Drosophila melanogaster: one gene and its partners. The protein of the gene in region 3 purifies or fractionates together with the protein of the main gene of each other region. This does not show direct contact. Each region holds a gene or a part of one and is shown on either strand. Other genes may lie near its edges. The genes, in order: comr, aly and achi.

Evidence for each region.
Region 1: the proteins of achi (region 3) and comr purify together in Drosophila melanogaster (affinity purification with western blotting, with the first as the bait; one study listed by BioGRID). This does not show direct contact.
Region 2: the proteins of achi (region 3) and aly purify together in Drosophila melanogaster (affinity purification with western blotting, with the first as the bait; one study listed by BioGRID). This does not show direct contact.

Annotation. Positions count from the first base shown.
Region 1 is NT_033778.4:21,861,641-21,871,436, forward strand, and holds comr (cookie monster), read right to left. Parts: upstream 5,220-9,796; 5' UTR 5,154-5,219; coding exon 3,351-5,153; 3' UTR 3,230-3,350; downstream 1-3,229. Other genes in the region: CG9294 (uncharacterized protein), read left to right, coding at 1-324.
Region 2 is NT_037436.4:3,020,262-3,030,537, forward strand, and holds aly (always early), read right to left. Parts: upstream 6,261-10,276; 5' UTR 6,164-6,260; coding exon 6,063-6,163; intron 6,000-6,062; coding exon 5,724-5,999; intron 5,661-5,723; coding exon 4,331-5,660; 3' UTR 3,868-4,330; downstream 1-3,867.
Region 3 is NT_033778.4:12,508,121-12,519,353, forward strand, and holds achi (achintya), read right to left. Parts: upstream 6,943-11,233; 5' UTR 6,656-6,942; intron 6,279-6,655; exon of another isoform or gene 6,224-6,278; intron 6,142-6,223; 5' UTR 6,125-6,141; coding exon 6,010-6,124; intron 5,942-6,009; coding exon 5,448-5,941; intron 5,389-5,447; coding exon 5,240-5,388; intron 5,140-5,239; coding exon 4,753-5,139; intron 4,664-4,752; coding exon 4,562-4,663; intron 4,503-4,561; coding exon 4,381-4,502; intron 4,315-4,380; coding exon 4,135-4,314; intron 4,070-4,134; coding exon 3,951-4,069; 3' UTR 3,414-3,950; downstream 1-3,413. Other genes in the region: vis (vismay), read right to left, coding at 149-267, 346-525, 592-713, 773-874, 964-1,350, 1,451-1,599, 1,746-2,146, 2,205-2,319; CG13151 (uncharacterized protein), read left to right, coding at 7,324-9,138; CG8818 (uncharacterized protein), read right to left, coding at 9,284-9,468, 9,521-9,654, 9,717-10,687; CG8569 (uncharacterized protein), read left to right, coding at 11,113-11,227.

The DNA of each region.
Region 1 (9,796 bases), 9.4 Mb from region 3:
GATGTTGTGGTGCTGCCTCAATCGGAGTGTCGCAATGGCACAACGTATAGGCCTGGACAAATTACGGATAACATGATGTGTGCTGGATATATCTCTGAGGGTGGCAAGGATGCCTGCAGCGGCGACAGTGGAGGACCTCTTCAGACCACCTTCGATGAGCAGCCGGGTCAATATCAGCTGGCGGGTATCGTTTCCTGGGGTGTCGGATGTGCCAGACCACAATCGCCTGGGGTTTACACCCGAGTCAATCAGTATCTTCGCTGGCTGGGCTCCAATACTCCAGGAGGCTGTCATTGCATGCCATACCCTGAGGAAGATTACTGAACTGAATCAGCAGATGAATAGTTTTTTATTGTAGCACCTTAAAAATATTAAAAAAATTAAGATAACTGTGCAGCAAACTCATGGTTAAACTGCTTTTTCAATAACAATTTATGCACCCACTTTTAACTAATTTATGCAAAGTGCACACAAATTTGCAACCAAGCAGCACATCGATCAAAAGTTGCTCACCAACTTTTTGGCTAGATTTTAGCAAATGTTGCATAAAGTACTTGGAAAACGCTCAGCTCATATCCCGGGGAGCACATCCATATCCATAACCACATCCTTAACTGCAGCCATTGGCAAATAAAAAAGCAATTTAAAACTGGGTTACAACACTTGAAGGCAAGCTATTTGGATCCTTTTACCTTTTTGGTGAAAAGTTTGCCAAGCAGATGGAACGAGGCCATATCTCATACATATAAATCCCGATTTGCTGGCGAATATTTTGTGCAATTTTGATTGTTATGCATTTTGCATTTGTGCAATCATAAAATAACTCCCTACCTGCTAGCAAAAATGGGAAGAAAGCCCAAGGACACGCCAAACTCACAGGAGCAAGTTTCACTGCATTTGGTGGCTAGTTCTACAGTCCGTATATAGCTTATTTACAAAGTTGGATTTGAAAAAGGCATACAGATAAGCGCAAAGTTTTTAACAAATGTACAACAAATTATTTACTCAGGGGAACTGGTAAATTGAGTTTCGATTTGTTGGTAATTGAGAGTTAAGGTTAGTAAGTTTGCACTACCAAAAAGAAAAGTTCTGAATTTGAATTCCAATTGAAGAAACTTTTAAAATTAGTAAATCCTAAAACGCTTTTGATTAAGAGTAATGGCCAATCAGTGATGATATTAGTGGAAAGTTTTTTAGGATATAATAACTCTTAAATGCCATTGTTTTTATGATTCCACTTTATTAGATCCGTAACTATATGGCCCACAGTCAACACCTCGTTTCCTTTGGCATTTTCCCACCACAAGACAAATTGCCAAACCTTATAGAGGAGATACATTCGTATTTGCCCCCATAAAGCATAGAGATACATATGTAAATAGTTTTACCGCCGCTTTGAATCATTAAAAATCTTTACGACTCCGTATTAAAGTCAGACAAAAAACGGGAAAAATACGAGAGGGAAGAGAGAAATACGAACAGTAAAGAAAACATTAATGCCTTGCCAATAAATTTGTCTCCCCAGCAGAAACTCGTAAAGATTTCCTACTCAAGCCCATAAAGCAGTCTCAAAAAAAAAAGTTTGTGAGCCTCAGAAGTTAAAGTACTGCCGACCTGCGTGGATTTCCAGCTAAACGACAAATAACTTGGCATTTAATAACTCTGCATTCGGAGGGCATTTCGACTTACCCCCCCCAAACTTCTTTGCCCCACCCCCACCTATCTGACTTCATTATAATGCAGCAAAAGTCCCGACTTTATTCCTGTTTCCATAATTTAATACTGGCGCGCTTTGTCGCAAACCGAATTTATGTGTTGAAACTAAAGCTGAGATTGTGGCCTTTGGACCGAAAAGGTGTGTGTGGATTGCATTAAATTGGTGCGTGAGAAGAAAAGAATCAACGAAATATTTGGATTAAAAACGATTCTAAAGCATCTATATATTCAAATCCCTACCCTGTAGCCCAAAATACAATATTTTCAATGTTAAGTTTACAAGTTCAAGCTACATGCATAGTTCAGTGATAATTTATTTGCCACGAACCAACTTTATGGATGTATTTTCCTAGGCACACGCTACACACACCCCCTACTATCGAATATCCCTGCTGTTTAGATCATCATTTAAACATCAAATTTAATAATCAGCCTGTCATGTTTATAATTGTGACTCTTGGGGGAAGGGATGGGAGTATGGCAGCCTGGTCCACTCGGCTCCTCGATGGGCAATCATGGCAAAAGCCACCGAAATGGAGAAGCAGAAACATTTCTCAGAAGGCAAAACATGACACATCTCATTATGAGGACTCCCAAAAGAACTCAACCGCAGAATCCCTCGCCTTCTCGCAGTTCGTGTGCTGCTGTCAGAGCATTTTGTTTATGATTTTGTAGCTGTCATAAAGTTATTAAAAGTATGTGACATTTTTATGACATTATGACGTCTTGACTCAAGGTTTCTCCTCTTTTGCCAACCGAAAAATCTGTTTTGGGATTTTTCGGAGGAGCGGAGCCGGCAAATAAGAGGATACCGGCTTTTGTTTTCAACGCTCCAGAGTTCTGCGAGTGGGACCAAACCGATTTGATCCGTCCGGCTGTCTTGAAATATGATATCAAATAAAAAGCAAATTAAAGACGATAAAAATCGTGTCTCGGCTCACGCTGAGTTATATATATAAAAAAAAAGCGCTTATTTTTTGCGCCTCTTGCAAATGCGGTGCGAGGTACACCACAAATCCGAAATCCCTTCGAAATCAAGTATCGTTTAAGTTTCGCTTTGGTTCTGGTTTTGGTTTTGGTTTCGTTTTCGGTTGCCTGTTGTTCATCTTGTTATTTGGTGGCTCATAAAACTTGTAAACATCCGACTGATTGTGCCCCTGTCTGGTTTTTTCCTTTATTTTCTGGTTATACGTTTTCGGTTTTTGTGAGTTCGTGTGGGTGCTGGCCCTCGGTTCGAATTGGTAAGATATTTCCAGATGATATTACACTTTTGATTGGCCTCGGTAATGGGGCACTGAGGGCGTGAGAGATCAAAGAGCGATAAGCGATTTAATTGCCCATATGTCCAAACTTATTGCCTTCGAAGAAGACCAACAAAAGCTATAATGAAAGGTTTAGATATGCCCAATGGAAGATGGTTAAAGGAATGGGCCTAAAGTTGAATAAACAAAAGATATGGCAGAGGTGAATGGTCCGAAGATGCGTACCGTAAGTTTTAAATAAAATCCTCTTTAAAGTTACTAAATAACGTTTAATTGTTTGGTGCACAAATCCACACAGTCAAGTATTTGATTTAACAAATAATAACTCCTAGTTGCCTTAGATATACCATACAATTCCAATGAGTGGCAGACTCAACGAGGATTTCGCTTGGAGTTGCGTAGATCATAGCGTCGGCTTTTTGGCGGTTCAGGAGGGTTCCTGTACTGCAAATTTTTGTAAACATAATCCTCGTCATCCTCGTCGAAGTAATCCTCTTCCTCGTCGTCGTCGTCATCATCCAGGTCATCGTATTGCGAATCCTGCACCTTGGTTTCGGTCGTTTCTTCTATGACTTGCTCCTCGAAATCAGTTCCTTCTTCAAGAGTATAGGAGATATTTTCGTCACTAGGCTTTAACTTAACGTTCTTTGGGTTTCTAGACTTAAAACCTTCATACACTTCGTCTGGCTTGAAATCTTCGCATTCGCTGGAACTGGAATGTACGGGTTTAGCTTGGCGTTTCGTGGGTTTGGCTTTGGTTTTGGCTCTTGGTTTGGGCTTTGCTTTAAACCTGGTGCTGGTCTGTGGAAGTTCCTCCTCTTCGTTAAGATTAGAACCGCCGCACAATTCCTGCATAGCCTGCTCCAAGTCCGAGTCCTCCACTACCTTGCGACCTGTAGATTTCATCTTCGCCGCCGCTGAGGTGGATGGCATGAAGTCCAAGTCGAGGTCCGATGAAATCGGTGGCAGGGCATCGTCTTCATCATCCGAGTAATTCATGCCGATTGGCAGATTCTGCTGGAAACCAATGGACTTATTGGTGGCATCCATAACTATTTCCTTGTAGCCGGTGATTTTGCTACCATAGCGCGGCAGATATTCGGAGAAGAACTCGTTGACTTTGAATAGCTCGACCTGGCCATAATAACCGGCATAATCGGGAGCTTGGCCAATTCCGATATTAATCACAGATTCGTGCGGCTTTACGAATTTCTCAAAGGAAACTTTACTGGGCGCTAAGTCTACGGGGGCGTTATTGATAGACGAACGCCCCCTCTTCACATTCAGTTGCGTCATAATGTTCTTGTTGAACATATCGTGATTGTTGCGATCCTTAAGGACACCCAGATCGGCTTGATATCCTAGCAGAGTTTGGAAATGACATCGAGCCACTTGCAGAGCAGAACGGGATGTGTAGGGAGTGGAGCAGAGATCTCCTCGCCGTACCATCCTGGAAATATGGGCATAGTTCGGGAGGTGCAGAGGTGGTCGTCGCGGCTCCGCCGTTCCCGGGCTTGAAATTTCAGGTATTTTCTCACATTCCTGAGCCAGTTTATGCAATTTGAGTAACTGACCCTTAACGAAATTTGGATTCCGATAGATCAGCGTGATGTTGGTGGCTGAGGATTTACGCACATCCTTCAATGAAACGCGTTCGAATCCGTGGGCCAATAGAGTGCCCGTAAATTGCAATGTATTTCGACAATGAAACATGGAACACCCGCTGGACAAATGCTCCTGCATACCCTGGTAATCGACCTCCAGTTCGCGGCCATTTGCCGACCACTTGAGGTAGTGAATGGAGCTATTATCGGTGGCCAGGAACAGTTTCACGACGAATGCATAATGGAGTAGAGGATGGCTTTTTGGCGTTTCCGGGATATGGATACCCAATTGTCGGTAAATCCGCCTGTGATTCTCCGCTGCCTTCTTATTGATGTCGGAAACAGGTTTAACTGCCAGATCGAGGGGCTCCTTCTGCAAAGGATTTCTTTCGAAATCTTCCAGCGGATCCTCGGAGTCCACAAAATCCAGAAACTCGGGGCTATCCGCTGGCGTCCTGGACTCCTGCTGTTCCAACTCATTTGTCCAACTTGTTGCTGCGTCTTCTTCATATTCATCACCACTTTCATTGACCTGCTGTGACTGGCCCAAAGTGTCTTGGTTCCCCGACATTATCCTTTTGTATTTACAAACTTCGATGACTTTTTAGTTCTCAAACAAATATTCGGGCAAACGAGCAAGCCGGAAAAATATGAGGACTGACAAACGAAATGTTGGCCCACTTTAAGGGTTGCCCTGCTGTTGTTTTCCATTCGGAAAAAGTGTTGCTAAGTTTTTCTGTTATCCTTTACAGTTTCTATCGATGATTTTTAAGAAAACACACTCTCATCGGTGTACTTTAAGCAGTCACACTTAATGTTCAAAACTTCTTTTTTTTACATGTTAAATAAGCCTTGCATTCCACTATTATTATTCTGCTGCCAAAAATTCTTATTGATAAATTAAAGTTACACAATTTAGCTTTAGTGAAAGAGTAGACAGGCGAAAACCAAACAAAGCTCCTTTCATTTTATTTGAATGCACTTCATGTTTTGTTTGCAATAAATCTATTGTTATTTATAACCCCAAAACCCCCAGTTTTAACCCTCCCATTTGTTTCCAAGGGCGGCAAAGTTCAAAAAGGAAAGTAAGGGAAGCCTTTCAATTGGGGATTCATGGGCTATATCAACAATAATGCAGACCAAAGCCGAGACAACAAAAAGCCGCCAACACTGGCACTCAACTGGTCTATAACCAGTCAATGAGAAAGAGAGGGTGACACTGTGCCGAAAGAGATAGCTTTAAATTGACATTCATATGAATATTTAATACACATCCTTTAATCACGAATCATCCATGGCGAACACCCCCCCAATTATTCTGACTGATGCACGATATTTGGATGAACAAACTGCTGAGTTTTTGGCACAGGCGAAAAAAATCGGACTGACAAGAATTTTATGCAATAATCTCACGTGTCACCAGGAGTAAATTAAAAAAATGTCGTCAGCTGCTTGAATCTATTGAATATTATAATACCCTGCTCTTTATAGCTTCTTTAGTTATTGGTAAATTACTGATGTGAATAGTTCGTCTAGTGAATATAATTATGCATTTCATTGCTCAATTTCTTTGGCGAATATTTCCGCCAATTTTATTGTTCTTTTATTACACTAGTTGTAATGTTTACAGTCCGAATTTGATGACAAAGTTGTAATTTCCGAGCGAAAATCATAGGGCAGCCCATGAAAAGCTGCATAACAAGAACAACGGCTGTATATGACGAATAAATTTACAAGTCCAGTTGGAAAAAAATAGTATACCAGCACGCACGTGATTTTGACAATGAAACCCCTTTCAATTTTTTCATTGCTTCCTATTTTTTGTTGCTCTTTCTTTTGGCGGAACGAAAAAGTTTCTTTTGTTGTACATTTTTTACGATCTGATTTAGTCGTGTGACGGAAGCCCTATATGAATTCATAAAAAGCACTACATAAGTTTCGGTTTCAGTTTAATTTTACGGGTAGAGAGCTAGAGGTCTTTATTTACTCCTTATCTGGGGACAACTATTGTTCAACTATATATGGAGATCTCCCATCTCGTTCGTCTAAAAAATATTTTATAAAATGTTGAAAACGTTATAAAACATAAAAGTAGGAATGCCGCCGCCGTAGTGTTGTTTTGTTTTTGTTTAATGCGTGTCAAGTGGTCGTAGATTATGCATTTTTATGGTTTATGGGGCGCTACTCCATCGGTTTTCCTTTTAGACTATTGTTTTCCAAGCAATTAAAGATGAAGACGACTGAGCACGACCTTCTAGCCCCGAATTTTTCCAGCTGTTTTCCGCCCTTTCGCTATCTGAATTGCATTTTTACGATCCCGATTCCAGTTTCGATTATATTTCCTTATTCTAGAGTGAGTCACTGCAGCAAGTGATACGCTCTATAAGATTCTCGTGGTTTAGTGACTCATGTGAAGACAATGGAGCTCCAATCCATCAATCATTTCACTTGCCAGAAGGCAAACCTTGGGGTCTCATTGAACTTATTTCTCTCTGCTCTTCGCTTTCTTCGCCTTGAGGTTAAGCTAATTAAAATAAATGAATATATTTCATAATTTTACGAACTGCATATTAAGGGCCAAAGTTTGGTGGACTTTGACAATTAGCGGCTAAAATATCACTTTGCCATATAGCATGCAGAAAAATCATTTTTCAAAACACAATGCATATTAATGATCGTATCGTTTTCTTGAGAAATGCCACAATTAAACATATTGAAAGAGTTTACAATTTAGTTCATTAAGCAAGGGATTTCTTGGAATATGGGATTTTGAAATGTGCAGGCAATGCTCATAAAATCTTATACTCTTAAAAATTGTATATATTTATTATATTAATAAATTTAAATTGTATATAATTTCCTAGAACACAACCAGTTCGAATGCAAATGTATTTTCACAATGTATCTGACGACCTTATCTACAATCTCGCACCCATGTAGACTGTGACTAATTGAATGCCCATTTCTCCCGCTTTTGCTTTTGCTCTAAAAAATCCATTCCCGTTAAGACTGGAAGGCAATTCCCGGTTTTGGTAATTTGATATTTTCGATGTCCACAAATTTTTCACTAAATATGTTTAAACTCATTTCCCCTTTTGGTATCGCTTTCACCCCTCGTATCTGTAGATACTTATTCCATTCCCTTTTTGTTCTTTGTCTTCTGGTTGCACTGTTTTGTCTAATGAAGCGTTTAAACTCCTGTTCGTTGATGATAATTAACACAACTCCATTTCTGAAGAGTACTGTAAAAAAGGGGATCTCATTAACCCTTGACATTTGTCACACGAACGCGGGGGAATTTCGTTTTGCTTTTTTGACGAGATGAAGGAGTTTTCGAGTGGGTTCCAAGTTTGAATTGAAGTTTCGGGCTCCTTTTGTCTGCTGTACAAGTCAATCTACGTGACATCCTTTTCGTCCTTACTTTTTTACTCCTTTTTCGCTAAACGAAATTGTTGAAACAGATGTCAAATTGTTGTGCATTTTGTATGTTTTTGTTGCCTTTTTCCTATTGTATTTGTTTTCATTTCCATCGCGGTGGTGGCCCCTTTTGTTTTCGTTTGTTTTGGTTCATTGACTTTGCGCGGTTTCGAATTTCTGTGAAATACTCAAAACCCCATCCCCAGCAACTCCTACTCCTTCAGGGTTCCTCAATCGATTTGCAGTCCTCGCAAAGGGCAACTTGATATGTCCTCACTTTATTTTCGAAGGGAGTCACGGGAGTGCCGAAAGTAAAGGGAGCAACACATGTGTCTTCTACATTTGGAGATCCTAAGATAATGCAATCTAGAGTTATGAGCTGGCCTAGTCGAGTTGCCACGCGGAGTCGTATATTTATAACCATGAAGATATGCTTCTTTAAGTAGATCTAAAGTGCATATACACAAAGGCCATTGCGTTTAGAATTTATTTGTGGTTAGCATGGTCCGTAAATTTTTAAAGGTTCTCTGGGGGAATGAAATATTATGGAACAAAAGTTGTTGAATGAATATTATTGGTTCCATATAGTTTGCATTTTATTAAAATTTTCTAAGGTAAAACTAATTGTAAGTTTTACTTAATGCAACAACCCATGTTTTAAGTCTTATGTCTATTTCTATTCCACACCTTTCTGAAATAAAGAAGACGCAAGAAAGACAACCGAAGACATGCAGAAAGTGCGAAAAATCATTTTGTGATAAATAATACAACTTCATCAGCGAAAAACGAACCCCCAAAAGCGAGGTTCCTCGCCCTCGAGAGGACTACCCCCCTCACCACCCTCCAAAAGTCTTCGTCTTCGGAGCGTGAGGCGTGCATAAGTGAAATGTGCACAAGATACAAGATACAAAGATACATTCGAGACAACACCGAACCGAGCAGCCAAAAAGGTAATTAATCATCGTCATGGGGCGTGTGCACGATTCGCTTAACGTGCGCCTTTGGCAGTGGTTCCCCCGCCCCATTCCCTTGTTCCACCCAAAAAGGGGGGGGGATGGCCAGGGGCTCACGGAGGGGCAGGGACGCTGACTGAGGGTCACAGTTTGGTCTGTGCAGAGTCAGACAAACATATTACTCAGGGCATTTCCATATGGTCTACTTGAAGTGTACACCTAAAGATCTTAGCTGGTGTTCCTATGATATATTCATTTAATATTGTACATTAAGTTTGGGAGATTATATAATATATTTAAAACAAATTTTATGTACTACTAATTTTAACTTATTAACTTAACTTAGTGAATGTAAAAAACATGATATAAAATTTGCCATACTTCAGCTACTTTCAATTGATTTTTCCTTAACATAAGTATTGTTGTAAAAGCAAATAAGCATTTTTTTTTCTCTGTAGCTTCATCTCCTTCAGCTGCGAACAAGGGGGCGTCGTGTGGGGGGCGTGGCATGGCGTGGCAATAATCATAACGAGGCAAATTAATGCGTTTCATTCTACATCAAGCAGAATTCCCGTGCACTTTTTTTTTGCCCACCCTTCTTGGGCGACACATTTGCTGATTTAGCAAATATGGGGAGTTGGTAGATACTTTTCCCCTTAGATATATATTTATGTTTATTCCAACCCCCAGAGTATCTAATACATTCTAAGCGTGTGTGTGGCGCCCACTTATTAATTTGCGAGTTTTTAAATTTTTAATTGATTGTGTGGATGATTTCAGCGATTCTGCGAGCGATTTCATTTGGTCATCAGGGCGTTGCAAACTGGATTTATTTAGCTAATTG
Region 2 (10,276 bases), on a different chromosome or scaffold from region 3:
TGCCACTACTCTGGCTTTAGTTCTTACCTTATTTCATTTGAATTCTTATTAACCCAATAATTTGAATTATGCCAATATTTAAAATTAAGTTATCCGCATTTCATTCGAATCAAGTAAATTGCATTATTTTTTATTTACATATAATTGGGTTATTTTGTATGAAGGGAATTGCTTTATTAATTAGATATTTTAAATTCCATTAGCTTACTTTTGATTTCGGTTCTGAATTGGGCCAATGTGTATGCATTTTTAATTGTATCAACTGCGTTGGCTGCTCGAATGTGGAATTAACTAAATGCCAATCAGAGCACCTTGTTCAGCTGCATAAAATGCAAATACCATGAAAGCTGTCGTCTTTCGCCTGCCGCCTGTCGAAAATGGCCCTGGCCCACACTGCGTATGAGCAATGCCACAGCTTAGGCCTTGAGGGTGGCCATAAAGGACTCTCGTTCTGGGCGCCCAATGTTTGGGTCTCATTGCGCGTGCATTAAACCAAATTACAACACATTATAATTTGTGACAAAAGTGGCCCCGAAAATTCATTTGTGAGATCCAAGATTTGAGAGCTGGCAAACATGAAAATGTACGAACATATATTTTTATGCACTGCTGATAGCAATGAGCCCAAGGCCGAAAGACATTTGCCAGATGAATAAATAAGCTGTGAGAGATTGTGAATCTGTGTGGAAAGCTGTTGAAATTTCAGGACTTGATAGGTGTCCACTTCTTAAATTAATCGAGGTCAGCAAAAGTCGATGGCATTAAATAAGATAGCACAGGAGAGTAAACATGACATCTACTAATGGGATGAAAGTGTTTTTATTAAATACAAATAATAATCAAATAGCTGCTGCTTTACTGTGTTTTTCACAGTATTTTCGAAGCACTTTCGGAAACTTTAAGTTCTGGAACTTGAAGCTTCATTCTGACCTGCTGGTTTCCAATTACGCCCAGCAATATGTGTCACAACCCATTGGCTTTCCACAAAAAAGAAAGGAACCACTCGAGGCTGTGGGCTTGCCATGATGCCTTCTAATTGCTCTCGGTTTTTGTACATCTGTGAATGCCTGGTTCTGTCAATATGTGATTGCCGTACATCGCATGTGGGTGGCAAGGCTCAGGTCAAGTTTTGTCCATAGAAATGCAAAAAATTATCCAAATATTGTTCGTATTTGGATGTTCAATCAAATGGCATCCCAAGCTGGAGATTATATATTTAGAAAATTTTTTGAAATAATGTATCCCTTATCAAAAATGAGAAAATTTGCAAAAACAAAATTTTTCTCGAAAGTTGAAGTGAAAGTGATGGGATTTTTAGTTAGGTTATCGGCTGTAAAAAAAAAAAAGCTATTACTTTAAACGTGTGATTTTTTTGGGCGGAATTTGACGAAGAACCGATCCGTGAGAGCTTAAAGCAAAGCGATGATAGCGATAAATTTATTTTCCCATATCGATTCAACGCTCAAAATAAATAGTATCGTAATAATTCAGGCATAATTAAAGCTGTGGAGCCCGCCACACGCGACGTCAATCATTGTAATTTATAACGTAAGCAGAAGCGTAAGCAAACTTAAGCCATTATTTCCGCTTTTACGGAATACAAGCCGCAGGCTGTGCTTTTGTTTTTGCCATCGTTTTTCCCTTAGTTTTTCCACTGTTTACTGTTACTTTAGCTGTTGTGTTTATTTTCGCTTTCATTTCGTTTTTGCTGCACATTTGCATTTTGTATCCCGCTGACCTCAGTCCACCGACTGCCGCCACAAACTGCTGTCCATTTCATAAATCATTCGGAACACACACACACACATCTGAGTAAAACACTCACAAGTACACTGTGAAATATATACAACCTAGTTGGAAGGAAAACTATAGTATTCATATATAGTTTTAAAATTTAACTTGATTTATTTACTTCAGTAAATAAAATGTTATTCATTTGTGCTATAAATTGTGGCGCCTTATTTTAATTGAGTCTTCAATTTCCATTTCGAGTGGAGTTTTACATTGCCGCGCTCTGATTTACGGCCCTTAACCGAAACTTACACATGCGCCTACATCTCCCAAGAGAAAGGAATATTAATTTTATATTTATTATGTAACCGACAGCAATTGCCAACCATCAATATCAAATTAACCAATTACGCAACCATGCCATTAAGCTGATTAAAATCAGTGCGCCCAAAGAAGTATGCTACAGAAATGGTTTCCTTTAAGTTAAACATTAAATATGCATTTGGATATGTATGTTCAGCATTTGGGATGAGATTCAAAAGCTCTTTGCATAATATGAGCAGCTATAAAAAGTAACAGTTTTATTATTGTGTTTTTGACATGATAAATATTAAATTATATAGATCATTCCATATATGTACATATGTAATAATAATAAAACATTTCAGTTGATTGTTACTATTCTAGTCCTAAAATAAAGCTGAATCTATTAGTTAACGTGTACCCCTGTCGAGTTTCCGAAAAATATCGTCAGAAACTCATTGCGATAAATGATAAGCGCTTGGCAACAAACAACAAAAAAAAGAGTCATGCCAAGAGTGCCACGCCCACTTACACTCCGCCCAAGGGCTTTCTAATCATCTCGCAATTGCTGACCCAAATTTTCGGCCTGGTATGACTTAAGCAAAGCCAAAGGCCAGCCATAGATGACAATTTAATAAAGCAAATTGAGCGGCTTGTGGCGAAAGTTTCCTTGGTATTTGGATTAATCCAACCCACATCCGCGCCCACATCCGCACATCCGCAGCCTTGCAGAGTCGTTAATCAATTAGGTTGCCAGTCTTAGGCGATTGCTTTGCTGGCATGTGGATATGCGATTATATATGTGTTGCCACTTAAGCTGTTATGTATTGATTCAATTTCATATAAACGATGCCCCGCCACGCGCAAATATAATTAATGATCAAGTGTCAACGGAATAAAAAAAACTTTAGTCATCTCGAATGCATTATGTAAGGCGGTGTATTGAATTACATTTAGCACGAGTAGCCAACCAACATTCACAACTTTCACAACACGAGTTGGTCCACGCGGATACTTGACCGTATAAACTTGGCCTGCCCACATTTATTTGCTGCCATTTGTTACGTTTGTTTATCCTGGCTGGGGGATCCTTGATGTCAAACTACCACGTCTGTCGATTTTTTTGTTCTTCAAGTGTTCTTCAAGTTTGCGAGGCTATTGAAACGTTCAAAATAAATACATTAATCAAGTTAATGCCTAAATATATATTTCATTACAGCCATATTCTTGTGAGCACAAGTACTGCAAGGCACTGCGAAAAAAAATTACTATCACATTGACTTGACTGGTCATTCTAATCAGGAATACGAATAAAACATTTAATTTTGAATGCATCCTCAACCAGAGTCTTTACCACAGTTGTAACATATAGTGGAAAAAATGTTGCACTCGATAAATTTATAGCCGGATTCGCCGCCCCTGCAGCTTCAACGTATTATAAATATTTACGAGCCGCCCGCTCGGGTGGATTCCGTGGAGGATACGCACATCTTAGTCGATGACGACGACACATCCGGGGGAGCAAAATGGCCAGAGTCCATTCCCGCAGGACACACGCCATCAGCTCCTTTGCCGATCGTTTCTCCTCCCGGGGGACAGAGCGACGCAGTGCATCCGGAGGCATATTAATGATGTCTTTATGGCGGCCACATGGGCGTTGGCAAATTCCCCGGCGGAACTGGCTCACCCGCACAATTTACGAGCGTAGTGCATCCATCTAGTAATTAAAAAATAGAAAACACTTTACTCGTAAATGCTGATTTATGTGGGGATGCAACATTGCTGCACAAAATTTAGCCTCAAAAAAAGAGAAAATTTCCATACCTCCTTTTTGCAGGGTTTATTAGTACTTAGAGAGTTATAGTAAGAGTTTTTCTTAATCATTTTTAAGTATTTAATAAACTACACTTTCTATCATCAAAGTTGTAACACATTTACAGGCCCTTTAGAAAAAGCAAACATTCCCCAGTGATTATCCTTTTTTGAGTGCCCCCTTAAAGTTTTCGTTCACATACGCATTACTTATTTGGTTGCCAATCTGTCAACTGTTTTACGGCTGACTTCCTGTGGAACGTGCCACTGGAAACTTGAAATAAATCCTAGAACCACGTACCCCCCCCCCCCAACTACCCCTTCGCGTAAGTACCAAAAGAGCTCTACAAGGTAGCAGCCACAAGAAACTTCGTTAAGCTCCTCTGCCGGCAAACTCCCAATGCACATGACACTCCTCCTAATTGAGCCATAAATAAGAGCGAGGCTTTATTTCAGTATTCCAAAGGGCCAGTAGGTAGTGTGTTTAGCTGGGAGTATCCGGCTGTGCCTCGACCACAAAGTTGTAGATACCATCCTCGGTTTGCATCGGAGCCTGCTGGGTGATTTGGAAGCGCTCTGGTTTTTTGACGTCTTTAAATATTTGCACCACCTGCTGACGCAGAGGCTCCAGGGAATCGACGCCATCTTTTAATTTCCGGCCCAGCGATGGCTGGATGTTGTCCACCATGTGGGTAACCAGATCAGCGATAATCGTCTCCAAATTGGAGCTGTTCTCGCGCCCCAGCTTTCCATTGAGATACAGTATGGTGTGAAGGTTGCGGACGAACTCCTGCGTGCGATCCGATTCTATCTTCAGGAATTTCTCATCCGCGGCAGTCTTGAGGTCCTGTTCCGCCTGCATGCGACACTTCTGATAGACTTCGCTGGCGGGACGACCTCTTTTGGACTCCTCCTCCTCGTCCTGCTTCTGATACTCGACCAGGTAGTCGTGCAGGATGCGCAGCGGTTCAAGGATATCAGCGTTCACTCGGTGCAGCGTTATCATGCTGGCCGAATAGCGACGCTGGAGATTCTCACGCTGAGGTGTGACCTTGGCATCGCGACGACTACTTGAAGAACCAATCTCCTTGAATGTCTCGAAATCCTCATTCATTCGGGCCAAGTCCATGAGGATCTTGTGCTTGACATCCTGTAGTTTACCAACCCTTAGCACTGATTCCAGAAGTTCCTTGGTGTACCTCTTGTTTCCGAACTTCTCGGTCTTGGCGCTCTCCGAAATAACCGAGGACGATTTGTTGCCGCGCATAATAATTGACAAGGGAACCGCCGCGGTTTCCTCGTCGGAATAGAGCTGTGAATCCGGAAGACTGAGCACGACTGCATTGTCGTTTCTATTGAATCGAACCAGATAGGTGTAGTCCTGCGGATCGTAGCCCATGACAGTGCCATTGACGATGCCCTCAAAGGAGTTTCCGTGCAGAAAACTGCTGACCGTGGCATCCTTGGCCAGTGGCAGGGGCACACGCTTGGGTATCTGGTCCAAGTAGCCCACGTTCTCCTTGGGATTGAACTTATGCTGCTGCAACTGGCGCACAATGCGGCGCTGGCACTCCAATTCTTCGCGTTCCAGCTCGATGAAGGCGGCCGAAAATCGACGCGCCTTCCCCATATTCCGACGTACCAATTGCCATCCTCTGCGGGGCATGAAGCAAGAGTGCAGGAGCGGACAGTACTCCGCTATGAAGCGCTTCATATCGTAGCCCATGGTCAGGGTCGGCTTGTCCAGGAAGGAGTCGACGAACTCACACCAAATCCAACGGTGAGAGCTGAGATACTTCAGGAAATTGTACAATCTAAAGGAGAATGAACAATTAAGCACTTAAAGGGATCTCTAGGGAATCTTTCCCATTACGAACCTCTTGCCAAGTATAAAGTCATTGGAGTAGGGATCCTGCTCCTTTTCCTTTTCCTTCGCTTTCTCGTCCTCCGAAACATCTACAGATATATTGGACGGCTTCTTTGTAAAGTTCTCAGTCCTTTTGGACGCCACGCCTGGTTTAATTCTTCCCTGGATCTCTGGCTTTTCGGAAATCCTAATACGCGGGGCGAAATTTGGGCGTTTAATAAATAATTCATCGTTTTGCCATGCCGCCACCATCTTTCTGGGTTTCTTCAATTGATGACGCGACATTCTACGGATGGTAGCACAGTTATAGTTCTATTTTAATATTTGATAGAAAAGGAGAAAATATTACGTTGTCGTAGATAGTAATCCTATATTTGCCAGAAACTCGTTTTCTTCGCAGATCTCAGATTGGATTGTGAAATTATCGATTGATAGTGGATCAACTGACATGCTGAAATGGTCTACTAAGTTTTTCTTTAGTAATTTAAGCGAAGTTTTTCTGAACCAAATGTTTTTTTTGTTAAAAGTCTCACGCCATTTGACATATGGCCTCCAAACTTGGGTTGCCAACATATTTCAATTCTGTCAAGGGTTGCCATATTTTCTAAGGTACTAACTAAAGTCATTATTAAAGTAACAGTTCTGATAAATTAAATTAAAACAACTAAAGTCTTACATGGATTTTAATAAACAGTATCAATATTTTTTATGAACAGCAGGCTCAATCGAATTATGTAATTTTTTTTTTTTAATTCATTGATTTTGTTTTTTGTTATATGCCGCTTTCCAGGGTTGTTGATTTTCCGAGTGAAATCTGTTGAATTTTTAATTTGAAAAACTTTTGCGTGATTTTCATAGCTGGTGCCAATTGCGCAACACAACAATGGGTGGCCGAAACTCAGCCTAGCAAAATAGTAAACAGCCAAAGTTTCGCCGGACTGCAAGAATGGCTTCATGGTCAATAGTAGATGGTCGATATGGTGGTAATGGTCATCGGGGCGCGTAATTAATAAAGTTTGCATACGACTGTTGTCGTGGCTAAAACGCCGCCAGCGGATTTCGAATTACGTAAATGGATTTCAGCATTATTGCCTGCGCACTTTTGGCCTAATTTCCATGTCTGTGATGTGGTAAGTACGCCTGTGCACTGCAAAAAAAAAGGGTACAAAGACAAGAGAATTGCTAATGAAATTCCGAGAGTATTTAGTTAGAAACGCTGAAACACACACTTGTTTTAACATCCAAATTCCATATTTAATTATATAAAACGGAATTCTAAATTAAATTAAATTAAATTATAAATACACCTCAGTGTATGCCAATGGTTTGTGCCCGCAAACTTTCGACATGTGTTGCGGTCGTTTTCTGGGAAAAAGGAAATTGGATATCCAGATATTCAGACTTAAAGGAACTTAAAGATTACTTCCTCCATCGAGATATCGATTGCCGTCTGTGCACCTCATTCAATTTGCTGTGCACACAGAGCTTCCGCAGAATCGGTGACAGAAGGAAGAGATACCAGTTTTAATTTGCATTCCTTTCGCCTCGAAGGAGCAGCGGGATGTCCTAATGCAGGACACCTGCAGCTTGTACTCACTTAATCAGCAGACAGGCAAAGGTGATGCAGGTGGCTGGCTGGAGGCCAGCAACATGCGCTTAAAATTAAAAACCCAAGGCAGACAGCTGGATGGTTCCCATGTTCTTCAGTTTTTGTGTTCCAGGATCACAAAACAAAACATTGACATTGAACTAATGAAAGCTGCAGGCGACACGTGCCACGCCCACCTACCACCCACCGCCCATCGCCCAGCCAGGAGGCCTTAGCCAGCGGAATGGGCGATGATAGGTCGTGCCAACGGGTTACTCATGTGCACGACTTCATTCATACATACATACATATACATATGAATGGGTATTCTCATGCGGCTATATTGTACCCTGTATAGCGAATGTTGGCTTTCAGCCTGCGGGTCGTCTTTGCACTGGCCCAAAAAACTGGCTAAATGTTGAACGGCACACGCAAGCGTGTTAAAAAAAAAGGTTTGCTCAGTGAACCTAAAAAATCGAGTTCAAAGAGTGAGGGGTGTTTTAAATGGGCGTATGTGAATCAGAAGTCAACCATGAAGGTGTCAAAAGGTATACAGCGTTAGTATGAAAAGGATTAACACTTAGTGGGGCAATTAATTTCCCACTTTTATATTAGGTTTAAATAAACGAAGTACATATAATATTTAAGTGAAAATCGGACTTCAGTGTAAGATACAATAGTTTCACCAGCTTGTCGAACTTAAACTCTTGAGCTGACAGCTTTAGCTTCTTGGCCATCTACACGACAGAATCTGTCGCAGCTTGCCCGCCTTATACTCATGGCTTTTACTGTGCATTTACAGTTTATGACAGTTTGAGGACATTAAAATTGAAGCAGTTTGTATCGCCAGCTCCCAGTTGGGGGGCCACATGGGTTGGAGCTGGCTTATCGCCACTCGCCACTTTCATGGCCATGGAGCGCATTAATTGATTCGAGAGTTCGGTCTTTAAAGCACGATTTTAGAGCGGACATAACAAAGCCACTCGGGGGAGTCTGTGAAAGTCAATGACTTTCTGGGTAAAGTCACGTATTGGCCAACAAAAACAAAAAGCAGACTTGCAAAAAGGAACAAAGCTTCTTTATATTTATGCCATATACTCACACATTTGTCGCATTAATTGAAAGCGCGAAAGCGACAGTTGAATCAATTTTCGGTTTTTATTCGGTTATTTTTCTTTATGAAAAATCATTTGACAAGGAGCGTGCTTTCGACCGCTATCATAAGGCCACAAAAAAGGGTCGAATTCGACCCTTGGAAATGCCAATAATAATTATAAATATATGCGACTGCTACCCACATCAAAGTGAAACAACATTTGAACCTGTGGGAAATGTTGAACAACCCGCAATGAAAAGCAGAAAAATTTTGTAAATAAAAAATTAATACTATTGAAATATTACCTTGTTTTTGATTATGGCAATAGGATAGGGAAATTCCAAATGTTTATAGCTTTAACGTGTCTAAGAAGAAGGTTTCCTTTAAACAAATACTAACTGCCCTGAGTAAACAGATTGAATATTATTCGTTTAAAAACTTAAATTATGCTTAAAGCTCCACTTTTTGGATGACACATTTCAATATCTCGTACAATTTTCCCCACAAATGACAATGATTTCGTGCACCGAATTTCTTCGGGTTTTCAATTTCAATTACTATCGCTTTTATTTCAATTCATGTTCAATTTTTCCAGTTATTTTACAGCCATTGTCTGCGGCAAGGCGCCTTTGACTTGGACTCCTGCTCCTCCTGCTGCGGCTGACATTGGCTTTTTATCGCAGATTTCTTTTGGTTCGCCGGCCCGTAAAATGCTCATGTGATTGCATTGTCTCCGTGATGCACAGGAAACAATTTCTATGCGTTTCAATAAGCCAAGTTAATTAGAACTCTAGAAAAACATTAAGACAAATTACTGATGTGCAGTTTCAGAGTATGCCCATAGTTTGGAAAGAACGATGATAAATATTGACACTGCTGTGGTCTTTTTCGCAGTGTACCATCGAAATGGCTGATTCAATTGGCCGATCCATTCGGTAGATGCCACAGAGACAACGCGGCGGATGGACAATGCAGCAAATCCTCTTATCAAATTGTCATCGTCATTAAATCGCAATTAGCCAACACCACAGCGATGGCAGTAACAACAATCTGTCGAGGATTTGGGGCGCCTCGATTGCTGACGACAGCAACTGGAAAAACAGAAAACTTTTAAGCGGAAACACGCGCCTGGCCAGCTGAACTTTGCCGCTCTTCGATGTCCTCGGTGATTCTGAGACATCCTGCGATGTCCTGGCTGCTTTCGCTCCCCGAGTCAAACTCAAATTGACTTAAGCGCTTCTTCTGCCGCCCCTGTCCACTTTCATTAGTCAGAAAGGAGAAAGGGAAGGTGCTGATGGTTCTGGGCTCAGTGCCCAGAACTCAGGACTCAAGATTCTGGATCTCAGGACCCAGTCATTGACACCGCCGTTGTTTCTTTTTCCATTTCAGTTCCCGCCTTTCGCCGCGAACTTTCAGTGTTCTCCGCTCGACTTGGAGTAAATCAGCTTAGTGATTCCACCCGATTTTCGCCTGTCACCGGGATATCCAGATGACGGATGGTGGCATCATGTTCCCCAGCCGACTTTATTTTTGGACTAGCAAATGCGGTAAGCTATTCACAATACAGCATACTACTAAAAATAGATAATTATTATTATTATTATAGCTTTTATGATATCATTTATAATTTTAAGTCTTACTTGAAACTCCAAAAAAGATTTCAATTTATATCATATTTCTAGAACTCTTAAACTTATCCATAAACCTATTTCTGTGGCCGCATTTGTAGTTGAGCAGGGGCTACCGGATTTATGTCACGGAAGTTAAGAAAGACTAAGACGTCCACCAAAATGGATCCCACTTCCCATTTGCATACCCAAGGGGCTCTCATATCGCCGGGTTCCTGGTTCTCAAGTGATAAGTGGGTTCTATTCCTGGC
Region 3 (11,233 bases):
GGTCTAGTGCTGTTGGATTAAATTACTTAAATATATATATATATATATATATATATATATATATATATATATATATACATATTTGTATATACACGCTTCGGCACTTTGAGAAGTCTGGATCTGTTGCGTGGGTATTTGGTTTGAGGCTCTAGTCTCCCATGTAAACGAAATCGTCATCCTGGACGTCATCGTTTTGGCGCACAGCCATGGCAGTTTCCACTAGATAATAGAGACACTTGTACTTGCCCTCCTCATCTGAACTGGTGCCTAAGCGAGATTTTAAAATAAAATTATAAAAATGTTATAAAATAATTAAAAAGTTGAATAAAAACAGGTATAGGTTACCCTGCGATAGAGCAGATAATTGACTCTGGCCAGCTTCTGCTTCGGCACCGGTAAACACCTCGTCCGCCTGTAGATTGTCACCAATGTCCTGTTGATTGGAGTTGGTAGGATCGATTGTCTGGATTTCTGAGGCCTGTATTATATTCAGCTCGCTTTCAAAGTCTGTCAACTGTTGATTCACTTTAGGAGTAAAAGAGTTGGATATTACCAAAGAAACCGAGCTCTAAGTCTGCAAACTTCACTCACCGTCACGCTTCGCAGTCTGATTGCGATTCCAGATGGCGGTATTCTGAACAGATGCCTTAGAACCAGAGGTACCTGGATTATTGCCAGCCGAAGTGCTGACTTCCTCAGTCCCAAATACAGTTCTGGAATTGCAGAGGCCGAGATTACAATATTTTCTTAATACATCCACATAGCTACTTACTTTATAACGCTCTGCCAATCATGGGAGGTCTCGAAGCGTACTTCCTCCTCGCTGTTCGGCCCACAGGACTCGTATCCCTGTGCACTCTCTTCGCCTTCGGACCTGGGGGTAAAAGTAAAATCTTAGCACCGCCAGTCGCACTTGAGTAAGATTTAAGGCTCTGGATCAGTCAATGGGAGCAGAAGCTGTACCTAGGAGACACCACGATTCCGCCGTATGAATCCTTATAGCAGTACATGGTTTCTTGCTTATTCCCAGTCTTCTGCTTTGCTTGCTTGGCATTCTCCCTAGGACTCTTTGCAGCAACCGTCCGCGTTCTTACGCGCTTCGGAGGTCTTGGCTTTTCTTCGTCATCGAACTCTGGCGGCAGCTGGCCAAAAAGGCTGTATGGCAGTATGGATGTGGCAGGACTGGAGTTGGAGCTCGACCCACCAGCACCACCAGAGCCAACCGCCGAACCCCCAATGGCGGCAGCCTTGCGCATCTGATAGTTTTTAATTTTATCGATCATGGTTGCTTGAAGCGAGGAGTGAAGACTTTGAAAGCCCATCGGGTTGTTTGCAATGGCCTGCTGCCAGCTTGGAAGAGGAAAAGGAGTTTGGACGTAGGTGGGATGGGATAGGAGATAGAAGTGACTAACGCTAGGGAAGCAGGTCATAAAGACCGGTTACCAGTTACCTGTAGATGACACTGTCCTCGTACTCCGGCTCCATCTTGACCATTTGTCCGTTGGGGCCCTGCACATACTGTTCAAAGTTGGTCAGCACATTGGCGATGCCCTCGTGAATCTCACCGGCGCCATCCACCTCCTCTGTAGCGCCAACGACCTGGAGTCAAGCAATTTAGTAACTTCAGTGGTATAATGATTGACCAGAAGATAACACACCACTTCGGAAGCAGGACTTCCGTGTGCGGGATTCGGCCCAGTCAAGTTTGCGCCCAACGCACTTGATCTCGAACAGTTGGGGCTAACCTTTTTGCCACGTCGCGATATGGTGAAGTGCAGAGGATCGTTGCCCTCGCGCCTGATCATCTCGGGTAGAATGCGGCGACGGGCATTGATGAACCAGTTGCACACTTGGAGCACCGTCAGATTGGCCTCCTGGGACAGGGTGAACTTCTCCGCATCGCTCGGATAGGCGTTATAGCGGTGCTCATAAAGCCAACGCTTTAAAATCTTTACAGATGACTTGGGCAGATTTCCGCGACGTTTGCGCAGCGACCCATTAATGTCGACGTGGTGTTCACTGTCCACCATCATGTCGTGGTAGTTTTGCACCTGGTTGGCGCCTTGTTCGGTGCTCAGATCATTCCCAACGACGGCGTGAAGGGAATCCTGGTCCAAACTGGAGTCCGAGTGGAAACGGTCACGTCCTGGAGAAAAAAACGGCCATAAACAAGACTGATCTCAACCGGGATATAGGAAACTCACCCTCGTTGTTCAGCAGGCTCGCATGGACATGAGCCTCGTGCATCAGGTCCTTTATGTTCTGCCGTACATGGCGATCCAGGACCATGTTGACCTCCTCTTGTTCCGGCGAGATCATTGCAGCTCAGACTTAAGCTTCAGAAAACAGAAAATTCATTAAAACACAACCAGAATCGGTGTGCAAATATTGAAAGGAAAAGCACAGTAACTTTAATTACAATTTTTGCAAACAGAGAAAATTGACACTTTTTAGTTTCTTTAGGTGTTGTCACCACAGACTTTGAGATTCAACTAACTTTTCCCGAGGGCAGGCAAGTCATTCAGACACCAAAGTCATGGCCAACTAGGGTTCAAAAACAAATTTTTTCAATTGATTTTTAAAAATGGTTCTTTTCAATCGGTCTGCTTGTATCGAACGTATTAAAGTAAGTAATTAAGTACAGGAGAATTTTATAAATATTTAAAATTAATTAAGTTAGGGCCAACTATCGATAACTATCGCACAAACATTGCGCTTGCACACGAGAGACCATGAATATTTAGACAAATTCACTGCGCGCCCAAGTAACGGGCGTCTCGAAATGTACTTTTTACCTTATCCAAAATTTATAAAAATTTTGATTTGTAAAATTTAGACAAGCGCATTTATTTGGTCAAATGTAATATCATTTTGATTTCAGAAGATTTGTATGTTGGAGGTGCGATCGTCACTTGTTATACCCGTTACTCGTAGAGTAAAAAGGTATACTAGATTCGTTATAAAGTATGTAATAGCAGAGGGAAGCTTCTCCGACCATATAAAACACATATATTCTTGATCAGGATCAATACCCGAGTCGACCTGTCCGTCCGTCCGTCTGACTGTCCGTTCGTATGAAGTCAGGAACTATCACAAGTTTGTGGACCTATTTTGCCACGTCCACTCCAACGCTTTCAAACCGTACAAAATGCCACTCCCACACTTTTGAAAAATGAAAACTTTTTGCCACGCCCACTGTAACGCCCTAAAACAGCGCAAAACTCACGCCCTCATTTTTGAAAATTTTTGGATATTTCTTTTTTCCGAATTATCTATCAATACCCCAGAAAAATTATGAAATTTCTTGTTCACATTTTCACATATATGTACCGGGTATCTGATAGCCGGGGAACTCGAATATATCATTCTTTTTTTTTGTTCTATAGCTTTATAGTTAAAAATCGAATCATTTTGTTTTTGCGCCACTCTTTATTATCTGTGGTAACCAAAGTATTCCAATACATTTATAATATTTATAACAAAATTAATTTTGTCCTTCCACAAACGTTCTCATTTTATGTATGTATGTGTACATAATTACTAGATACCTTAAAAAAATGGCTCTATCAGCCAATTAGATAAAACACACCATCATTTTATGGCAATGTGTATTTCAAATGCTTGTTTATGTTTTATTTAAGTATCAGTAGTGTACATGTTAAGTTTAAAAGAGTCAGGTCCAAAACTAAGTCGATTTGTTTGTGAATTGACTTTGTGGAAAAAGGTATTTGGGCGGTCGCATTGCGAATTGATCTATAGCTTTGTACGTTATGTTAGTAACCTACTCAATTAACACAATAACATGGGGGTTATAGACAAATTTTTGGGTCTAGTGCTGTTCGATTAAATTACTTAAGTATATATATATATCTATATATACATATTTGTATATACACGCTTCGGCACTTTGGGAAGTCGGGATCTGTAGCGTGGGTATTTGGTTTGAGGCTCTAGTCTCCCATGTAAACGAAATCGTCATCCTGGACGTCATCGTTTTGGCGCACAGCCATGGCAGTTTCCACTAGATAATAGAGACACTTGTACTTGGCACGCTCATCTGGACTTGTGCCTAAAGCAAGATTATAAAATAATTAAAAATTCAATATAAAGTTGATAAAAATAGGTATAGGTTACCCTGCGACATAGCAGATAATTGACTCTGGCCAGCTTCTGCTTCGGCACCGGTAAACACCTCGTCCGCCTGTAGATTGTCACCAATGTCCTGTTGATTGGAGTTGGTAGGATCGATTGTCTGGATTTCTGAGGCCTGTATTCTATTCAGCTCGCTTTCAAAGTCAGTCAACTGTTGATTCACTTTAGGAGTAAAAGAGTTGGATATTACCAAAGAAACCGAGCTCTAAGTCTGCAAACTTCACTCACCGTCACGCTTCGCAGTCTGATTGCGATTCCAGATGGCGGTATTCTGAACAGATCCCTTAGAACCAGAGGTACCTGGATTATTGCCAGCCGAAGTGCTGACTTCCTCAGTACCAAATACAGTTCTGGAATTGCAGAGGCCGAGATTACAATATTTTCTTAATACATCCACATAGCTACTTACTTTATAACGCTCTGCCAATCATGGGAGGTCTCGAAGCGTACTTCCTCCTCGCTGTTCGGCCCACAGGACTCGTATCCCTGTGCACTCTCTTCGCCTTCGGACCTGGGGGTAAAAGTAAAATCTTAGCACCGCCACTCGCACTTGAGTAAGATTTAAGGCTCTGGATCAGTCAATGGGAGCAGAAGCTGTACCTAGGAGACACCACGATTCCGCCGTATGAATCCTTATAGCAGTACATGGTTTCTTGCTTATTCCCAGTCTTCTGCTTTGCTTGCTTGGCATTCTCCCTAGGACTCTTTGCAGCAACCGTCCGCGTTCTTACGCGCTTCGGAGGTCTTGGCTTTTCTTCGTCATCGAACTCTGGCGGCAGCTGGCCAAAAAGGCTGTATGGCAGTATTGATGTGGCAGGACTGGAGTTGGAGCTCGACCCACCAGCACCACCAGAGCCAACCGCCGAACCCCCAATGGCGGCAGCCTTGCGCATCTGATAGTTTTTAATTTTATCGATCATGGTTGCTTGAAGCGAGGAGTGAAGACTTTGAAAGCCCATCGGGTTGTTTGCAATGGCCTGCTGCCAGCTTGGAAGAGGAAAAGGAGTTTGGACATAGGTGGGATGGGATAGGAGATAGAAGTGACTAACGCTAGGGAAGCAGGTCATAAAGACCGGTTACCAGTTACCTGTAGATGACACTGTCCTCGTACTCCGGCTCCATCTTGACCATTTGTCCGTTGGGGCCCTGCACATACTGTTCAAAGTTGGTCAGCACATTGGCGATGCCCTCGTGAATCTCACCGGCGCCATCCACCTCCTCTGTAGCGCCAACGACCTGGAGTCAAGCAATTTAGTAACTTCAGTGGTATAATGATTGACCAGAAGATAACACACCACTTCGGAAGCAGGACTTCCGTGTGCGGGATTCGGCCCAGTCAAGTTTGCGCCCAACGCACTTGATCTCGAACAGTTGGGGCTAACCTTTTTGCCACGTCGCGATATGGTGAAGTGCAGAGGATCGTTGCCCTCGCGCCTGATCATCTCCGGTAGAATGCGGCGACGGGCATTGATGAACCAGTTGCACACTTGGAGCACCGTCAGATTGGCCTCCTGGGACAGGGTGAACTTCTCCGCATCGCTCGGATAGGCGTTATAGCGGTGCTCATAAAGCCAACGCTTTAAAATCTTTACAGAGGTCTTGGGAAGATTTCCACGACGTTTGCGCAGCGACCCATTTATGTCGATGTGGTGTTCACTGTCCACCATCATGTCGTGGTAGTTTTGCACCTGGTTGGCGCCGTGTTCGGTGCTCTGATCCTCCTCCACGATGACGTCAGCGTGAAGAGAATCCTGGTCCAAACTTGAGTCCGAGTGGAAACGGCCGCGTCCTGCAGATGACATGCAAAAAAAACGGGCATGAACAAGACCGAACTCGACCGAAATATAGCAAACTCACCTTCGTTCTCCAGCAGGCTCGCCTGGACATGAGCCTCGTGCATCATGTCCTGGATATTCTGCCGTACATGGCGATCCAGGACCATGTTGACCTCTTCTTGTTCCGGCGAGATCATTGCAGCTCAGACTTAAGCTTCAGAAAACAGAAAATTCATTAAAACACAACCAGAAACGGTATGCAAATATTGAAAGGAAAAGAACAGAACTTTAATTACAATTTTTTTTTTTTTACAAACAGAGAAACCTGTCACTTTTTAGTTTCTTTAGGTGTTGTCACCACAGACTTTGAGATTCAACTAACTTTTTCTGAGGGCAGGCGTCATTCAGACACCAAAGTCATGGCCAACTAAGGTTCAAATACGCATTTCAAATCGATTTTTGATTTCTTTCCAATCGGTCTACTTGCTAAATCGATTAATTTCCAAGGAACTATACATTAAACGAACGTATTACAGTAGTGAATTAAGTAAAGAAGAAATTTAAAAATATTTAAAACAAATTAAGTTGGGGCTATCTATCGATAACTATCGCACTGGCACACGAGAGACCATGACATATAACATGTCAAATTGACACTTTAACCAAAATATTTTGACAAATTCACTGCGCGCCCAAATAACGGGCGTCTTGAGCTCCCGGGGATTCACCTGCGATGTCCGAATGGGTGCCACTATCATTTATTTACACTAAACACTGGTTTTCCCAGTGTTTCAGCCAGGCCCCGGTTACTGCACTCAGCAAACTGTAGTGACGGGGCAGTCGTCACAACCGTAGTATCGAGGCCAATTAGACAAACTCTTTTTGCAGACAACGTAAATATAGTAACGAACGTTGGGGAAAGCTATTTTGGCACTGGTTTTAAAGCGTTTTATTCCTTTTCCTTGCTGCGTGCCAAACAACAAATTAGTGGCGAAAGAAATCCGATAGCCGCTTATGTGCGATAAATCATGGATGGGGGTCCACTGGGGAGTTAGTTCAGTTGGCAGGTTCATTTGAAATTTGAACAGTGGCGCCAAGAATAAATACAAGTTTTGTTAAGTATAATTTGTTTAAGAATTATAAACATACACTAGTTATCTCTACGCTGGAAATTAAATCTACATTTAAAATAAATAAGTTATATTTAGAATGTACATAATTTTTTCTAAATAGAACAAACTATTTTTTTTATAAGTTTTCAACCTTTCAAGCTTAAGATTTATGTTTTAAATGTCTTTTTCGATAACTATATAAATTATCGATATGTATAGACGTTACTGTCCTAACCTATCGACGACTGAAAAGGTTTGTTTTGTTGCAAGTTTATAAACAAACAATGGAATGCGTGCTGGACGAGGAGCTGCTGGCCAATATTAAATGTAGCGACCAGGAGGAAGAAGACGAGGATGGTGAAAAGATGGAGGTGGAGGAGCGGCTGCCGCCGGTCGATTCCACAGTCCAAAGTGCCTCCTTTAACGGAGATGACTCCGATCCGCTACAGGAAGCAGTATGCAATTTTCCCTGGATTTTCGAGGACAGCGACATGCTGATGAACGAGGACCAACTGGCTGACGTGGTGCTGAAGAAGGAGGATTCCGCCAGGCCAGCTGCCCCGAAGCGAGGACGTGGTCGTCCACCAAATAATAACGGAAACTACACATCTCCTTGTGGGCAGCTATGGAGCGTGACCAGGAGCCCAGATATTTCTGCAGAGGATCTACCCCTTTTGGGGCAACAGGCCTGTGGCAAGGGACCCGCCCGAACAGTGTCCAATGCAGTGGAAGCATGGATGCTGCTCTTCGATGATGAAATGCTGCGGTCTTTACTTCGCCATATCAATGAACAGATGCGTAAGCGGAGAACGGCCACAAGTGTCCAGAGACCCCTAGACGTTGTGGAGCTGCGGGCATTCTTGGGTCTAAGCTACCTTTGTGGAGTGTTCCGAAATGCCAGGCACAATGGGCCATTGGATGAGCTGTGGACCCTGGAGCTGGGCAATGCCATATTCCGAGCATCCATGTCGCTCGCTCGATTCGAAAGCATTTCCGAGTGTCTGGCGGGAAATTGCGGCTGGTCCGAGGGCCAAAAGCTCTGGCAGCGCCTTATAATCAATTGCAGATCCTACTACGGCTGCAGCAGTTGGTTGACCGTGGATGAGACATTCTGCGCGGTGGCCAAGTCACGGATGACCCTCTGCTGTGATGCCAGGACACTGTACATGGCCAATGCAGTGGTAAGCAGAAACCAGAGATGTCCGGACAAGGATGTAGAACAACTGATCTGCGATTTCAAGACCACGGGAAGAAATGTAACGCTGGGATCACGGTATCTAAACTTGACGCAGTGCGAGCAGTTGGCGCAGCGGCAAATAAGCTCGTTGGGTAAGCTGGAGGCCAATTCGCCACATTGGCCGCGGCAGTGGCCCACAGAATCACCCTTGTTTGGTGGCAGCTCAAAACTCATTCCGCTCGATGGCGACGCAGTCTTCTGCTGCGGTCTTAGCTCCCAAGTAGATGCAGTCCAGGCATATGAGCAAACCTCAGAAGCCTGTCAGCAGTTTTACGAACACTCCCAGCGCTTCAGCACAGCCCACGCTACGCCCGCACCCTTGAAAAAGCAGATCAATCCTTTTCTGCAACTACTTCACTTTGTGCTCAACGCGGCTGCCGTGAATGCATGGATCCTGTTACGACTTTCGCCCAAAGGCGATGCCGCTATGGATCAGCGCGACTTCCAGAGACAGTTGGGACTCTTCCTCACACAGCAGAGATTACAGCGACGCCTTCAGCGAAGATCCACCAGCACTTCGCTCGTGATGCGACTGCAAATCTGCGAAATCCTGGGCCAATCCAGTCAGCGGCTGCTCAGTGAGGCGACCGGCGAGGCGAAACTAACGCACAGCGTAGGCGTGCTAACACCCGACAAGATGAGCCTGCCCTTGGGCATTAATTTGGCTAGTCGGTACGGAGAGAAGCATCGCAGGTGCAAGCCCTGCGCTCGAAATAAGCGTGGCACTAAATCGCGGACGCGGTGCCAACAGTGCTTGCAACATCGATGCGGCAACCACTTGATATCCCGCTGCTACGAATGCGTCGGCATTTTGCCTGGCCAACTGCCCGAGGGCAACATGGTGGATGAAGGAGCCACCTGAAGATGGATATTAAATAACATTTATTGAAGAGACACTACATTCCTTGTGGGGGCTTGCAATATGGGGATGCTTGCAATATTGCTCAATGGTGCAAACACTTGTGCTGTAACTACGATGACAACGGCTTAACGATGGAAACTGGGGACTAGAACTTGTACTGGAAGGACTTGGGTGCCTTGTACTTGCTGGCCATTCCCGAAGAGTCCACAGGATCGCTCTGGTCGAGGAACAGACTGAGGAACTGTTCGTTCTGCAGCTCATTTAGCGGCATCTCTAATTCACTGCAGGATTTGACAATCTCAGCGCAGGCTCGCAGATCCTTGCGCATATCTAAAAACGAAACGGGAGTTACATAATATTCGGTTGTGTTGCACAGACTCACATTGATAGTTAAAGAGCAAGCTGAGGCAGCTGGAGCAGGCCAAACGCTGCTGGTGCTGCAAGAACGCCTCGATTAGCCGATGCACCGCATCAACATTGTTACGGGCCAGAAATGAAGAGCACAAAGAACTGGCTCTGCAAGGAAGGTTACATTGGGATTCAAATTTCGGGTTTTTAAAGAAATTAAAGCGACTTACCTCCTCTCCACTAGCTCTTGCAGCTCCTTGTAGTGCTCAAACAGTTCCGAAGCCGATTTTTGATCGCAAAACCAATCGCTAGCGAAGCATTGCTTCCACACACAGGCCACCACAAAGATGTCCTTGTGCTCGCGGTGAATGGCACGCGCTACCTCCAGCAGCGACACTAGCACCGCCTCACTCTTCTGGGCCAGAGTCTCCTCGGAAATGGTGCGGAATGCGGAGCGCGCCATCCGCCTGCCCTCCTCCGAAGTCATGCTTACCCCGTAACCGCGATGTAGCGTCATCAGGGCCACGTCGGCGTTACCATTGTTCCACAGGGCGATGGCGCGGAAGGGCGCCAGATCCGCGTAGGTCTGTGAGAACGGGTGCTCCAGCTGCCGACAGGTCTCCGCCAGTGCCTCCAACTGCTGGAGCTTGCGCTGCGCGCTCAAATACTTTAGACAGGACACGAAGACCTCGTTGGAGGGCAACAGGTTGCAGCGGATGCACTGACGTATCAGGTAGAGAAAGTCCAGCTTGTTCTTGATCTCCAACGTGGCCATCAGCAGGTTGTCCAGCTGCGCCTGCGACAGGGATCTGATATCCAGTCCCAGTTGGGGGGAGCGCAGCGCCTTCAGATCACTCATCATGCCCTTGGACATAAGACCCACGTTCTGGCTAAAGCTGGTACTACCAGCCTTTCGCTGCGTTCCCACATTGCAATTGGCGTCCGCCTCCAGATTTCCGGACGATGGCCTCTTTATCAGGCTATCGCGCAGCTCCTCCCACTTTTGGGTCTTTCTGGTCACCAAGTCGTTGGTGAAACAGTCCATGGGATCGAGATGTGTGGACTTCCGACGTTGCCGCTGCGTTCCCGGCCACAAGAAGGCCGAGATGTAGTTTTGGAAACGCTGCAGGCCCTTGGGTGAACCGGGTGCTCCGGCCACCGTGGTGGTGCCGCTGCTGGTCAATCGCGTCAGCATGGCCATGACTTGGGGTCACCTCCGCGTCCTCCGCTCTTCTAGACACGCCTCCTTTGCCCCGTTTTTGTCTCGGATTGTATAAGTTGTGTATATTTTTTGTTTTCAACAGTGTTACCGTCGCTGATCCGTGTGAAAATGCCATCGAGGAATACCATTATTACGAATCATAGCAAGTTGTTACTGAAATAAACTCAGATACTTTGTTTCACAAATGTTTAAAAATGGAATGCTGCATATAATTACAAACTTACTTTTAAGTAGAGTCATTTAAAAATCCATAAATTTGTATGTAAATTTAAAGTTACCCCTACGTGGCAGCTCCTGTTGCCTATAGTTGGCAACGCGAGTTCACCCAATCCAGCAGTCCGGCAACGCTTCCAGTTAGCCAAAAATTGATTTCATTTGCAAGAAAACTTTAAAACGCAAATGAAATGGCCAGCGATATTCCACCTTCAGCCATCCGTATTTGGATGGACAAGCTGAAAAAGGGCGTTGGGCAGCCGGCGACAGTCCTAGAGCGTTCCCTGCTCAATTTAATGAGTGCAGGTAAGT